Saccharomyces cerevisiae S288C: one gene and its partners. The gene in region 1 interacts genetically with each later gene. Each region holds a gene or a part of one and is shown in the gene's direction. Other genes may lie near its edges.

Region 1 (3,049 bases):
CCCAGAATGGGAAGCTGGTTGCAACACGGTTGCTCTTCTTCGCCTGCGCTTCCTTTCATTCAGAACAACACGTGGTTTTTTCACATAGTCACCATAATCAGATGGTTCTATGATATTATGAGGAAGATCAGTGTTGTTTTGATGAACATTAAGCAGGTTACTCATATCAACAGAAGAGTATTCGTAGAATGTATTATTGGATCCTAAAATAATGACAGCAATGTCTACTTGGCAAAGTACTGACAATTCATGAGCCTTTTTAAATAGTCCTGCTTTTCGCTTTATGAAAGTAACTGTACGATTTCTATCATCTTTGATAGGTTCAATTTCAATTTTTCTTCTACCCATTTAGCAGAAATTTTTTTGAAAATAATTGTGTTTGCTTATCTAGAGCTTTATTAAATTTTTTTCTGATGAGATAGGCCTGCTCGAAAAAATAGTCTGTCTTTGAATTTGGCTCGTATATTTCTCCCTTCGAATGAATGATAAAGAAAGACTCAAAGGAATGATGTAGTGTTATATAGATTGGCTAAAATAATTTGGCAAAAGAAAGATGGATAAGGATAGTTCATGTTTTTGAGTCCTTCACGAACATAGGAAGCCGGGTATGCGTGGAGATTTAAGTTTTGCCAAGCCTCCAATTACTCGAGCGAGATTATTTTTGCAGAAGAAACAAAGACGCCGCTTGTTACTAAAAAAAGAAGGCAACAATAATGCAAAAAGTTCGAACCAACTGTACCTCAAGCCGTTTTGTAAGCCACTATCATCGGGAACGGTACAGGTAGAATGATAGATGAAATTTACGTAAGCGTTAATGGAAAACAATAACGATGTGGTGTAAAAGCTAGTGCGTAGTGTGAGTGCCACTAGTTTTCTTTGACAGCTTAAGAGCAAGCTTTTGGAGCTCACAATCAAGTGAAACAAGAATTATGTTCATTTTCTCCTTCGGAACTGCAGAATAAAAATTCTTTATACTATAAACACCGCCATTATCAAAAAAGTATTGCTGAATCATGGTATACAGCGTGAAAATCTTCATGGCATTTCTACAAATTCTTTTTAGTTAGTATCGCCAACCATTAACCTTTTTAGTAATGCTGACGTTAAACGAAGGCGAAAAAAAATACTTGGCAACACCATCGTTTATATTTTTTTCAAATGGAAGTGTCGGCCGACGTAGCATAGCAGGAAAGATTCAAAGGCAAGGGTTTCACATAACGTTACCCTTCTGACCACGCCCCTTCTTTCGATCCCACTAGTGCGGACGGATTATCACGCAAGTTTTTTAACGCGAGACATCGGAAAATATTTATGCCGATTAGATCCGGCCCCTGAAACTTTTTGTTTGATACTTTCAAACGCACTACTCTACCCCATGACATAAAAAATATCTGTCTCCGGTTATATATGTCTAAATAGAATTCGGGTAGCATTTTATTTTTATCGCTTATAGGAAAAAGATATTTGCATATATATATCTATATATCCTATATACATCTATATAGTTATTGTGTAAGGGGTTTTTATAAGGTCCGATACTTACAGAGATTAATTTGTAAATAAAAGCAGAAATCTTTATTTAAGAAAATAGAAGATTGATGGGAATATTTCGTTGGAACTATCCAGAGAGTTCTGTCCCCGGCGTTTGGGGAGAAACAACTTCCACTATTGACTGGTGTGAGGAGAACTATGTCGTTTCTCCCTATATTGCCGAGTGGTCAAACACTTTAACTAACAGCGTATTCATACTGTCAGCGATTTACACAACTTACTCTGCTTACAAGAATAAATTAGAAAAAAGGTTTTTACTTATTGGCTTCGGGTACGGTTTGGTCGGAGTAGGATCATGGCTATTTCATATGACACTGAAGTATAGATTCCAACTATTGGATGAACTTCCAATGATATACGCCATGTGCATTCCGACATGGAGTTTAGTATGCGAGGCCAAAGAGGCATTACTTAACGGAGATAATCACAAGAAGGTTCCTCTATTTGAACAGATATTCATCGGCGTAATTATCGGCCTGGCCGTTACAACAGCAAGCATACTCTACGTTATTTACAAAAATGTCGATATCCATCAAATTTTGTTTGGCGTACAGATTGTAGTTGTGGCTGCTACTGCAGGAAGTTTGACGTACAGATACGTCCATGATCCACTTGCCAAAAGAAATCTCAAGGCTTCAATGGCGCTCGGCGCAATTTTGTTCTTATCTGGCTACATTTCGTGGCTACTTGATATACACTATTGTTCGTTCTGGGTGCACGTTAGAAGAAGTATTTTGGCTTTACCACTTGGTGTACTGCTTGAACCACACGGATGGTGGCATATATTAACTGGTATGGGGATTTATTTCTACATTGTTTCTTTGGAACATTTAAGGGTCATTACGCTCAACGTCAGCTGCAATTACCAGTTCATCTGGAGATGGAAAGTCTTCCCTGAACTGATATGGAAAGGGCGCAAACCCTCAACAAGATATTCACTTGAACTATTTGGCCCATACGTAGAAGATCAATCAATTGAAGTTAAAAAGGAGAAGTAATAATTATAGCATAATATATATTCATAATGTATAGGCATATTTATTTTTTATTTTTTTTATTTCATGTTCTATTTAATGACGAATCACGAAGAAAATATATCTAAGAAAAGATCTTTTGAATCCTTGATTTGCGAATAGTTTAAATGACCCAGCTTATTGCTCTGGTGAAAAAAAACTTTGTGCGGTCTCAAAGCCGTCGGCGGCAAAATAACGTGAATTGATGAAAGTAAATAAACAAAACAAAATCTCTAATTGTTGTAACACAAATACTAAGAAATTTGTTAGCTAATTCGGGACATGTACCAAAATAATGTATTGAATGCTATTTTGGCTTCTGAAAAATCAAACTTTCAATACGATAGTGGAACAATATTAAGAAACCACAAAAGACCAATAATAACATTTAATAACAACATAGAGCACACAGTATCCGAACCTAATAATTTTACAGGCTATGAGGAAAAGGAAGATTTGGATATAATGGATATTTGTCCTTATTA
Region 2 (3,043 bases), on another chromosome or scaffold:
CTCACTAATTTATCATATTGCAGTAAAAGCACATAGTCCTTCCCATCTTCTATCGTTTTCGAATCTTTTAAATGTTGTAAATCGTATGTTGTACCTTTGCCTCCATAAATCAAGCTCACTTTGGATAATTTCCCGTTAGAACTCAACGGATTGAAATTTTCTTTAGAAAGTTCTAGATCATGCTTTTCATTCTTGTTATCATAATATGAAATTGATACATTGCCTGGATAATTAGAATAAACTGAGTATCCCATTTCTTTAACCAATTTCAACCCATTGTTGTCAAAAGATTCCTGAATGTATCGATAAATAGCTGCATCACCCTTCGTTCCGGATCCATGAGGCATGCTACTAATATATTCCAAATCTCTCTCAAACTTTGCCAAATCCACGGATTTTTTGGCATATTCAAAAAGTATATCGTGTTGAGAAAACATCCCTTTAGATCCTGATGCCTTTTCGTTGAATAAGTAGCCACTTGACAAGACATAATATGCAATAAATGACATGAAAATGATGTAAAAGAACCTTCGAAGTATAAAGGGATTTCCGATTTTACTTAAGTAATAGTCAGCTTTGTCTGGAACGAATTTTGATATTTGTAAGAGTGGATGAATGATGTTTTCCATTAAGGGTTCCAAAATTTTTTCCTGAAACCCAATTGAAACCCTCTGTAGATGTGTTCTTTTGTGAAGATCATCGTGAGGGTCCTCTATATCAAATTCATAAGAAGGTGGTTCAGGTGGAGGCGTTATATTAGTTTCTATACTGTTGTCGTTAGAACTAGGAGGAGAATCATCAAAACGCTGGCTCATCAACAGATTATGGGACGACGACGCAGTAGGTATAGCATTTTCATGTTCAAAGTTTGTAGTTGACACTGGTTGATAACTGCTCCTCATTAAAATTACTTGATCTCAATACCCGGGGGTATTATCTTGGTTTGCAAATTAGTTACAGATTTCAAATAACCCAAAGCTTGATGTATTTCTCTAGTATTGAGAGGCGTTTAGGAAAAGAACAACTTTAATGATGCAGGAAGTACTTGCTTAACTAGTTCTTGCCTGATGCCGTAATTTTATCTACTAAATTTCCAAGAGTTTTGGAGGCTTAACTATTGCGAAATAGAGAGAAAAAAAGAAGAATCCTAATTAGTAAGTATGGAAGAGATTTATTAAACGAGAAAGGAAGTGAACCAAAGAAGAAACGGAAATAAATCATACAGTATGAGTAAGAACAGGTCATCGCTACAGTCTGGTCCACTTAATAGCGAGTTATTGGAGGAGCAAAAGCAAGAAATATATGAGGCGTTTTCATTGTTCGATATGAACAATGATGGGTTCCTCGATTACCACGAGTTGAAAGTAGCAATGAAGGCCCTGGGATTTGAGCTACCCAAGAGAGAAATACTTGACTTAATAGATGAATATGATAGTGAGGGGCGGCATTTGATGAAGTATGATGATTTTTATATTGTAATGGGGGAAAAAATATTGAAGAGAGATCCGTTAGATGAAATAAAAAGGGCATTCCAATTATTTGATGACGACCATACTGGGAAAATAAGTATTAAAAACTTGAGGCGTGTAGCTAAAGAATTAGGAGAAACTTTGACGGATGAAGAGCTGAGAGCGATGATTGAAGAGTTTGATTTGGATGGTGATGGCGAGATTAATGAAAACGAATTTATAGCTATTTGCACCGATAGTTAATTATGACTATATATTTAATCTATAAAAATGATTTGTAACTATATTAGTATACTCCCGTGGGTCTCTCGTTTTCTGTTTTAACTTACATCTTGCCCAAGGATGCACTTAAAAGTGAAAAAGCCAATCTAATCCTGCAGGGCAACAATAAGAGAAGACAATAAAACAAAACACTGAAAAATGTCATGGAGGTATGCGTTAAAAAACTACGTTACCAGCCCAGAAACGGTAAACGATGATACAGTCACATACTTTGATGATAAAGTGTCCATAATTAGAGACTCGTTTCCTAAATCAGAGTGCCATTTATTGATTCTACCACGAACTATGCAGCTGAGTAGAAGTCATCCTACTAAAGTGATTGATGCTAAGTTTAAGAATGAGTTTGAATCATACGTTAATTCTGCGATTGACCACATCTTTAGGCATTTTCAAGAAAAGTTCCGAATAAAGAAGAGTGATGATGACAAAGACCCCTGCTGGGATGACATATTAAAAGACAAAAACAAGTTTGTAAGAAATTTTGTACAAGTTGGGATACACAGCGTGCCTTCGATGGCCAACTTACATATACACGTCATATCCAAAGATTTCCATTCGGTAAGATTGAAGAACAAAAAACATTATAATTCATTTAATACTGGATTCTTCATTAGTTGGGACGATTTACCATTGAACGGAAAAAATTTGGGCACTGACAAGGAAATTGAAACTACGTACCTGAAAGAACACGATTTACTTTGCTGCTATTGTCAGCGAAATTTTAGTAATAAATTTAGCTTATTGAAAAAGCATTTAGAACTAGAGTTCAATAGCCATTTCGAGCTTAAATAAGGCAAGCTTTCTCGCATTTCTTTTTGTTACTGATATACACATACCTATACATACACATGTCTTTTTAACATCATAATTTTTGGTATTCTATAGTGCCTTCCAATTTCTTAACTTCAGCTACTTTTCTTACGGCTTTCATTAAATCATCAGGGTTGATGTGATCACGGTCATCTCTTATGGCGAAAAAACCTGCTTCAGTTGCACAGTTACGAATATCAGCACCATTGAAACCATCACTCATTTTTACAGCAGCCTCGAAGTCAAATTCCCCTGTTTTTTTGACTTTTGCAGTATGAATTTTGAAAATTTCTAATCTGCCGGCCTCATTTGGCAATGGGATTTCAACTTTCCTGTCTAGTCTACCGGGCCTCAACAAAGCAGGATCTAAAGTATCTGGTCTATTCGTAGCCATGATGATTTTAGTCTGTCCAAGATTATCAAAACCATCCATCTGGGTCAACAACTCCATCAACGTACGTTGAATTTCACGGTCTGCTGAA
Region 3 (2,474 bases), on another chromosome or scaffold:
TCTTTACTTGGAGATCTCGCTTAGTCCTCCGAAGGTAAACCCCGTCTCTTATCTTTAAAAAAATGTATCAGACCCTTCAGCACGTGACAGACAGCAAACTACCAGTCGACGAGGATGCTTTTCCGAAAGTCATGACACAAGGGAAGGACTGTAAGATCGATATCGGCGCAGTCTTATCGGATGTTCCAAGTCCTTGTCTCTTTCATTATCTGCTTGCTATCGCAAAAAAAAAAAAATCAATTTGTTTAATATCAACACATAATGTACAAGAACAAATCATGACATACAAAAGCCATATAAGATGAGTCTTCAAGCAGCACCAAGAGGCCTGAGGCAGAGCAAATGTTGGCTCGCTATTCTTTTGTAAGCAATCTGGTACTCACCAACCTCCAACTATGAGATCTTTAAATACCCTTTTACTTTCTCTCTTTGTCGCAATGTCCAGTGGTGCTCCACTACTAAAAATTCGTGAAGAGAAGAATTCTTCTTTGCCATCAATCAAAATTTTTGGTACCGGCGGTACTATCGCTTCCAAGGGTTCGACAAGTGCAACAACGGCGGGTTATAGCGTGGGATTAACCGTAAATGATTTAATAGAAGCCGTCCCATCTTTAGCTGAGAAGGCAAATCTGGACTATCTTCAAGTGTCTAACGTTGGTTCAAATTCTTTAAACTATACGCATCTGATCCCATTGTATCACGGTATCTCCGAGGCACTAGCCTCTGATGACTACGCTGGTGCGGTTGTCACTCATGGGACCGACACTATGGAGGAGACAGCTTTCTTCTTAGATTTGACCATAAATTCAGAGAAGCCAGTATGTATCGCAGGCGCTATGCGTCCAGCCACTGCCACGTCTGCTGATGGCCCAATGAATTTATATCAAGCAGTGTCTATTGCTGCTTCTGAGAAATCACTGGGTCGTGGCACGATGATCACTCTAAACGATCGTATTGCCTCTGGGTTTTGGACAACGAAAATGAATGCCAACTCTTTAGATACATTCAGAGCGGATGAACAGGGATATTTAGGTTACTTTTCAAATGATGACGTGGAGTTTTACTACCCACCAGTCAAGCCAAATGGATGGCAATTTTTTGACATTTCCAACCTCACAGACCCTTCGGAAATTCCAGAAGTCATTATTCTGTACTCCTATCAAGGCTTGAATCCTGAGCTAATAGTAAAGGCCGTCAAGGACCTGGGCGCAAAAGGTATCGTGTTGGCGGGTTCTGGAGCTGGTTCCTGGACTGCTACGGGTAGTATTGTAAACGAACAACTTTATGAAGAGTATGGTATACCAATTGTTCACAGCAGAAGAACAGCAGATGGTACAGTTCCTCCAGATGATGCCCCAGAGTACGCCATTGGATCTGGCTACCTAAACCCTCAAAAATCGCGTATTTTGCTACAATTATGTTTGTACTCCGGCTACGGCATGGATCAGATTAGGTCTGTTTTTTCTGGCGTCTACGGTGGTTAAAGCCTGATCAGTGACTTTTCATCACACTGTGTTTTTATATAGTTCTTAGTAGTAAATATACTCTATAATTTCTACATCCTTTTCATGATGTGCCAGTTAAGCTATTTTTAGCAAACAAAAAGATGAATTTGAGTATTGAGCACATCATTCACTGTTCAGCTGATACAAAACATATGATTTCTAATATTCACATAGGAAAAATCGCTCCAAACATCGAAGTATCATCGCTACTTTGGTCTTTTATCTGCTTCTCTTCTCTTCGCTCTTTTCACTGCTCGTGCCGCTGCAACGCTCCAACTCAGTTCTATCTCAGCTCCTTCCCCTTATCCCTTGAGCAGTGTCAAGGCGAGGCTGCGTGATGTATTCGTGCGCGAAAAAAAAAACAACTGCAGCACCTGAGTTTCGCGTATGGTCACCCACTACACTACTCGGTCAGGCTCTTACCAGCTTAACTACAGTTGATCGGACGGGAAACGGTGCTTTCTGGTAGATATGGCCGCAACCGAAATAGTTAGGTGTGGCAGCCGTACATATGGAAGCCGGGCGATGGCTCCGCCACGTGCAAAGTGCAGGAGCTTTGGAAAGAGCGTGCATATAGTGATGAAAACAGAGAGCACGGTTGCGAACGGAGGGTCTCACAATGTCTCAAAGGATAAATCTCTTGGTTTGCGGGCCGCATACAAGATATGATTGTAGTTTTTTCAATGGCTCTACTGTCCCACTGCTGTACAACAGAAAATGAGAGATCAGAGAAATAGTATTCCGGAAGCCAGTGGTGTTTACTTATTAGTTTTTTGACGCCACTGCGCGAGTTGCTGCCTAGCTGTTCCTTGGCCAACGCATATTGGAACTTCATTCGACTGATATGCTTACTCAGAGGTCCATTACTTCAAGAATTGTCTCACCTATCGGGATTGGCGTTTGTACAAGAAGAAACTTTCATCACCTTTGTTTCGCCACCAAATGAAAAAAAAAACTTGCATGGCTTAG
Region 4 (3,883 bases), on another chromosome or scaffold:
ATTCAAGTACCTCCTTGCTCACTAACCTTTCAACTGTGTTAGGTTTTTCAATTGAATCAAATGCGCTTATTCTTAATACCCCCGTTTGTTTTGCAAAGTAGATGCCCCTAGAGATATCATAGGCAAACGCTCCAAACTCGTAAATATCCTGTTTTAATAAATAAAGTAATTTGTGGGGAGACTTTGTCAGAACGCTTGAGCTGTATTCTATATTTGTTATTTTTATTCCCTTTGATTCAGCACAATCCTTGTACGTCAGTGCTAACTTTTCTTGTGATTCGCTTTTAGGTTTTATGATATTAACGATACTCACAACACCATACTTTGAGGTTAAATTATCAAAATGCCTGTCAAAAGCTCCCTGAGCTTCAATAGAATCTTTTGTTACCTTAATTTTTTTTCCATACAACAGTTGACTTTCTACAGATTCCCAAAAAAGAGGAATGCTTCCGTTCACTTGAGTATAAGAAAAAATAAACTTTTCTGTGGTTACTACAATTTCTGTCTCAACAAATAGCGACACTCTCCCATCTTCACTAATACCCTCCAATTCTAGCGTATCCTGCTTGCTCTCAGTCGAAATTCTGGAAATAATGGTTATAGAGGCTGTATTTGGGCCGTCTTCTATTAATGCTGTCTTGCAATAACCCCGAATTACAAATGTTAAGAACCCTGCGTTGGCAAAAAGTTGTTTCTCCTCATTTGAAATCTTGCTTCTCCAGTTGATTACCTCACTTGCTAAGTTAGCATTCCAAATAAATGATAAATCTTGATTATCTACGGTATATTCTAAGTTATGTGATAAACCATGGTTTTTCACGATATTAGAGATGTCGAAATCTCTAGAATAGTAGAATGTTCCATCACTAAACAGTTTTTTCAGGGGGCCGCAAGGATGCTCATGAATCAATTTATCATAGTTTTGCTCTGATCTCTCGCAGAGGAGGTAGTCGAAAACATCATTTTCTAAGCTGTAAAAGTCAACATCCAATACTTTATAAATGCTCTCCGAAGGCCTAACTTGATGATCTATCAGTTTCCATCGAGGAAACCCAACATTCTGAACACCAGATATGACGGCAACATATATATCACCATTAAGACAAACGAGCCCTAATAATCCATTAAATATGCAACTTTTGACTTCGAGATAGTTACTATCACTTGAAAGATCTGTGTCAGGGTAGGACTTGATTGTTACGCTAGGAGTTTTACTTAATTGACGCTGCTGAGAACTGGCACCTGGTATGCTGCGCAAACGCTGGAAGGATAAACAGTAGTTGTTGGAAGATATTACAATCGACCGTGATCTTCTACCGATGAAGAGTCTCATTGTAGTGAAATGTGCTTCGAATTCATACGATTAACACAACTTTATCAATATTTGCTGACTTAATCCTAGAATGAAATAGAAAGGCTATTTGATTTGTGTAGATATTTGTTCCAACTTTCCGGTTTACAAATGTTTAACAAAGGGATTCGTTTAGCAATTAGGCAATGCTAAACAAGAAGGAAAACAGGAAACCCTGAAGGAGATAAAACGACGTCAAGAATAGAAGATAAAAAAAAAGGGACATTAACAGGTTATATTGAAACTCAATTCCTGCCTAACCTTCTAAATTGAGAATTTAGAAACGGTATCGCTTATTCTGAATTCCTAAAACACCCATCCCTTTTAAGTAAAATAATAATACGTGGACTACGTAGATGTGGACACTCAATTTACTTACTATTCTCTATGGTCATATTGACAATAAACAAAAATACAAGAAAAAAAAAACTACAGGAAAGATTTGTCATAAATTGTACACTACCACTTGAAAACGACCTTTGGCATATTTATGGCAGATAAATTAATGGACAAAAATTTTGAAGAACTGTGCTATTCATGCCGCACTGGTGATATGGACAATGTTGATAGATTGATTTCCACGGGAGTAAATGTGAATAGTGTTGACAAGTTTGACAATTCGCCACTTTTTCTGGCTAGCCTTTGCGGGCATGAAGCAGTCGTGAAACTTCTTCTACAGAGAGGAGCCGTCTGTGATAGAGACAGATATGAAGGAGCTCGATGTATTTATGGAGCATTGACCGATACTATCAGAGATACCCTTTTAAGTTATGATATATCCAAGGCTGTAGATGTCAAGCAACCCTTTGCTACTCATATCTCATCGATGTATAATGACGAAGGCTTCCTTAAAAGAGATATCACATTCAGAGTTTCGAATGGAAAACTGTTCACAGCGCATAAGTTCTTATTATGTGCAAGGAGCGAAATTCTAGCAGAAAAAATGGTGAATGAGTGGGCAAAGCATGAAATTGTTTCTCTTGAAGTGCGCCCAGATATATTTGACATATTTTTGAAATTTCTTTACTTAATTCCGATCCTGCACCAAATTGAACCGGGACAATATGAAGAACTTATAGAGCTATCTAGTAAATTTGATATTGAGTTATTGCCCGAATTTTTAGACAAAGCAAGGCATACCGCCGATCCTACGGAAAAGTCGAGGTTAATGTCAGATTACCAATATAAGTTTACCGAGGTTGCAAGAAGTCAACTTTTAATATTTGTGAACAATTGTATCTTTAGATCTACTGTTGATCTTGCTAATAGTGAACGACGAGTTTTTTCCTTGATGAACTGTCCAGCTTATCCGGATGTTCAACTTATGGTAAAAAACCGAAATGGAGCCATTCGAATATACCCTTGTCACCTGGCTGTTTTGAGCCGCGCAGAATATTTCAAGGTGATGTTCACAAACAACTTCAAGGAGAAAGTTACATATATCAAAGCCAAGCACGTTACAGGAAAGTATAATAGTATCATTCCACAGCTGACATTACCCAATTGTGAGTTTGAGGTTGCCGAAATTATTCTCCGCTACTTATATGCAGATAATACAGACATTCCTTGGATGTATGCCGTCGATGTTTTGTTACTTGCCGATATACTTTTAGAAGACCGCTTAAAAACTATCGCTTCTACAATTATAACACAATCAAAAGAGTTTATTCAGCAATACAATGTTTTTGACGTACTCTATTTATCATGGGAAATAGGAGTGGAACGCTTAGAACAATTTGCAGCTAAATTTATAGCTATACATTTGCAAGAGTTATATAAAGATCCAGAGATTAAAAGGGCAATTATGTTGAGTTCACAACGAATTTCTCTCCGCCAGGAAACTGATACTATTGAACTAGTGGATGACATTAGGTACTATTTGCTCCGAAAATATTCTTTTGAACCGGATGATGTGGAGCTGTTCGAAAACCAAGACGATTTAGAATACCTAAAACAAGTAGGGTATTTGGAGTACAGAAAAGATATGGGTATGTTAGATAATATCCTAGCTGATCTGGAACTTGATGTATAATTCCGCATTCAATAACCTTATGTATTTTTACGCGTCACTGCGAACGGATGAATATTGCCAATGACTGCTGCGCACTCTTAAAAAATATAATGACAATTATAATAAGAAGTATGATACTTTTTCTGTAAAAAATATATATACATATGATTCACGTGAAAATTTTTATATTTTTAATTAAATTTTTATAATATTATAAATTATTATAATATTGATATTTAAAATTAAAAACAAATTATTAATGGTTTTGTTTTCCGAAATGTTTTTTATAATTATTACTTCAGAATAGTTATTTTCACGAATACGAGATACAGGGTAATGAAAACAGGTGTTATCCAAAAAAAAAAATTGATATATTTTAGATACTTTACATACAGAGGCAAGCTTCAGCTGTAGCCAGGTACATAATATTCCCTATAAAGTGATCAATATTTTTTAACGAAAAATTAAAAAAAAAAATCCTTGAATAAAGGAATGAAAATATTGTAACAAGCGATGACATT

What was found.
Region 2: mutations in YPC1 (region 1) and HNT3 together harm fitness more than expected from each alone (negative genetic interaction), as found in Saccharomyces cerevisiae (one large-scale study listed by BioGRID).
Region 3: mutations in YPC1 (region 1) and YLR156C-A together harm fitness more than expected from each alone (negative genetic interaction), as found in Saccharomyces cerevisiae (one large-scale study listed by BioGRID).
Region 4: mutations in YPC1 (region 1) and YIL001W together harm fitness more than expected from each alone (negative genetic interaction), as found in Saccharomyces cerevisiae (one large-scale study listed by BioGRID).

The regions. Positions count from the first base shown.
Region 1 is NC_001134.8:594,517-597,565, forward strand, and holds YPC1 (phytoceramidase), read left to right. Parts: upstream 1-1,598; coding exon 1,599-2,549; downstream 2,550-3,049. Other genes in the region: SMP1 (Smp1p), read right to left, coding at 1-348; YBR182C-A (uncharacterized protein), read right to left, coding at 845-1,039; YBR184W (uncharacterized protein), read left to right, coding at 2,847-3,049. UniProt on the Saccharomyces cerevisiae protein: Alkaline ceramidase that hydrolyzes phytoceramide and also dihydroceramide into phytosphingosine or dihydrosphingosine. Prefers phytoceramide.
Region 2 is NC_001147.6:809,782-812,824, forward strand, and holds HNT3 (DNA 5'-adenosine monophosphate hydrolase), read left to right. Parts: upstream 1-1,889; coding exon 1,890-2,543; downstream 2,544-3,043. Other genes in the region: TRE2 (putative zinc metalloprotease), read right to left, coding at 1-902; CDC31 (centrin), read left to right, coding at 1,227-1,712; proteasome regulatory particle base subunit RPT4, read right to left, coding at 2,614-3,043. UniProt on the Saccharomyces cerevisiae protein: DNA-binding protein involved in single-strand DNA break repair, double-strand DNA break repair and base excision repair.
Region 3 is NC_001144.5:471,979-474,452, reverse strand, and holds YLR156C-A (uncharacterized protein), read left to right. Parts: upstream 1-1,842; coding exon 1,843-1,974; downstream 1,975-2,474. Other genes in the region: asparaginase ASP3-2, read left to right, coding at 396-1,484; YLR156W (uncharacterized protein), read right to left, coding at 1,996-2,340.
Region 4 is NC_001141.2:352,099-355,981, forward strand, and holds YIL001W (uncharacterized protein), read left to right. Parts: upstream 1-1,841; coding exon 1,842-3,383; downstream 3,384-3,883. Other genes in the region: phosphoinositide 5-phosphatase INP51, read right to left, coding at 1-1,333.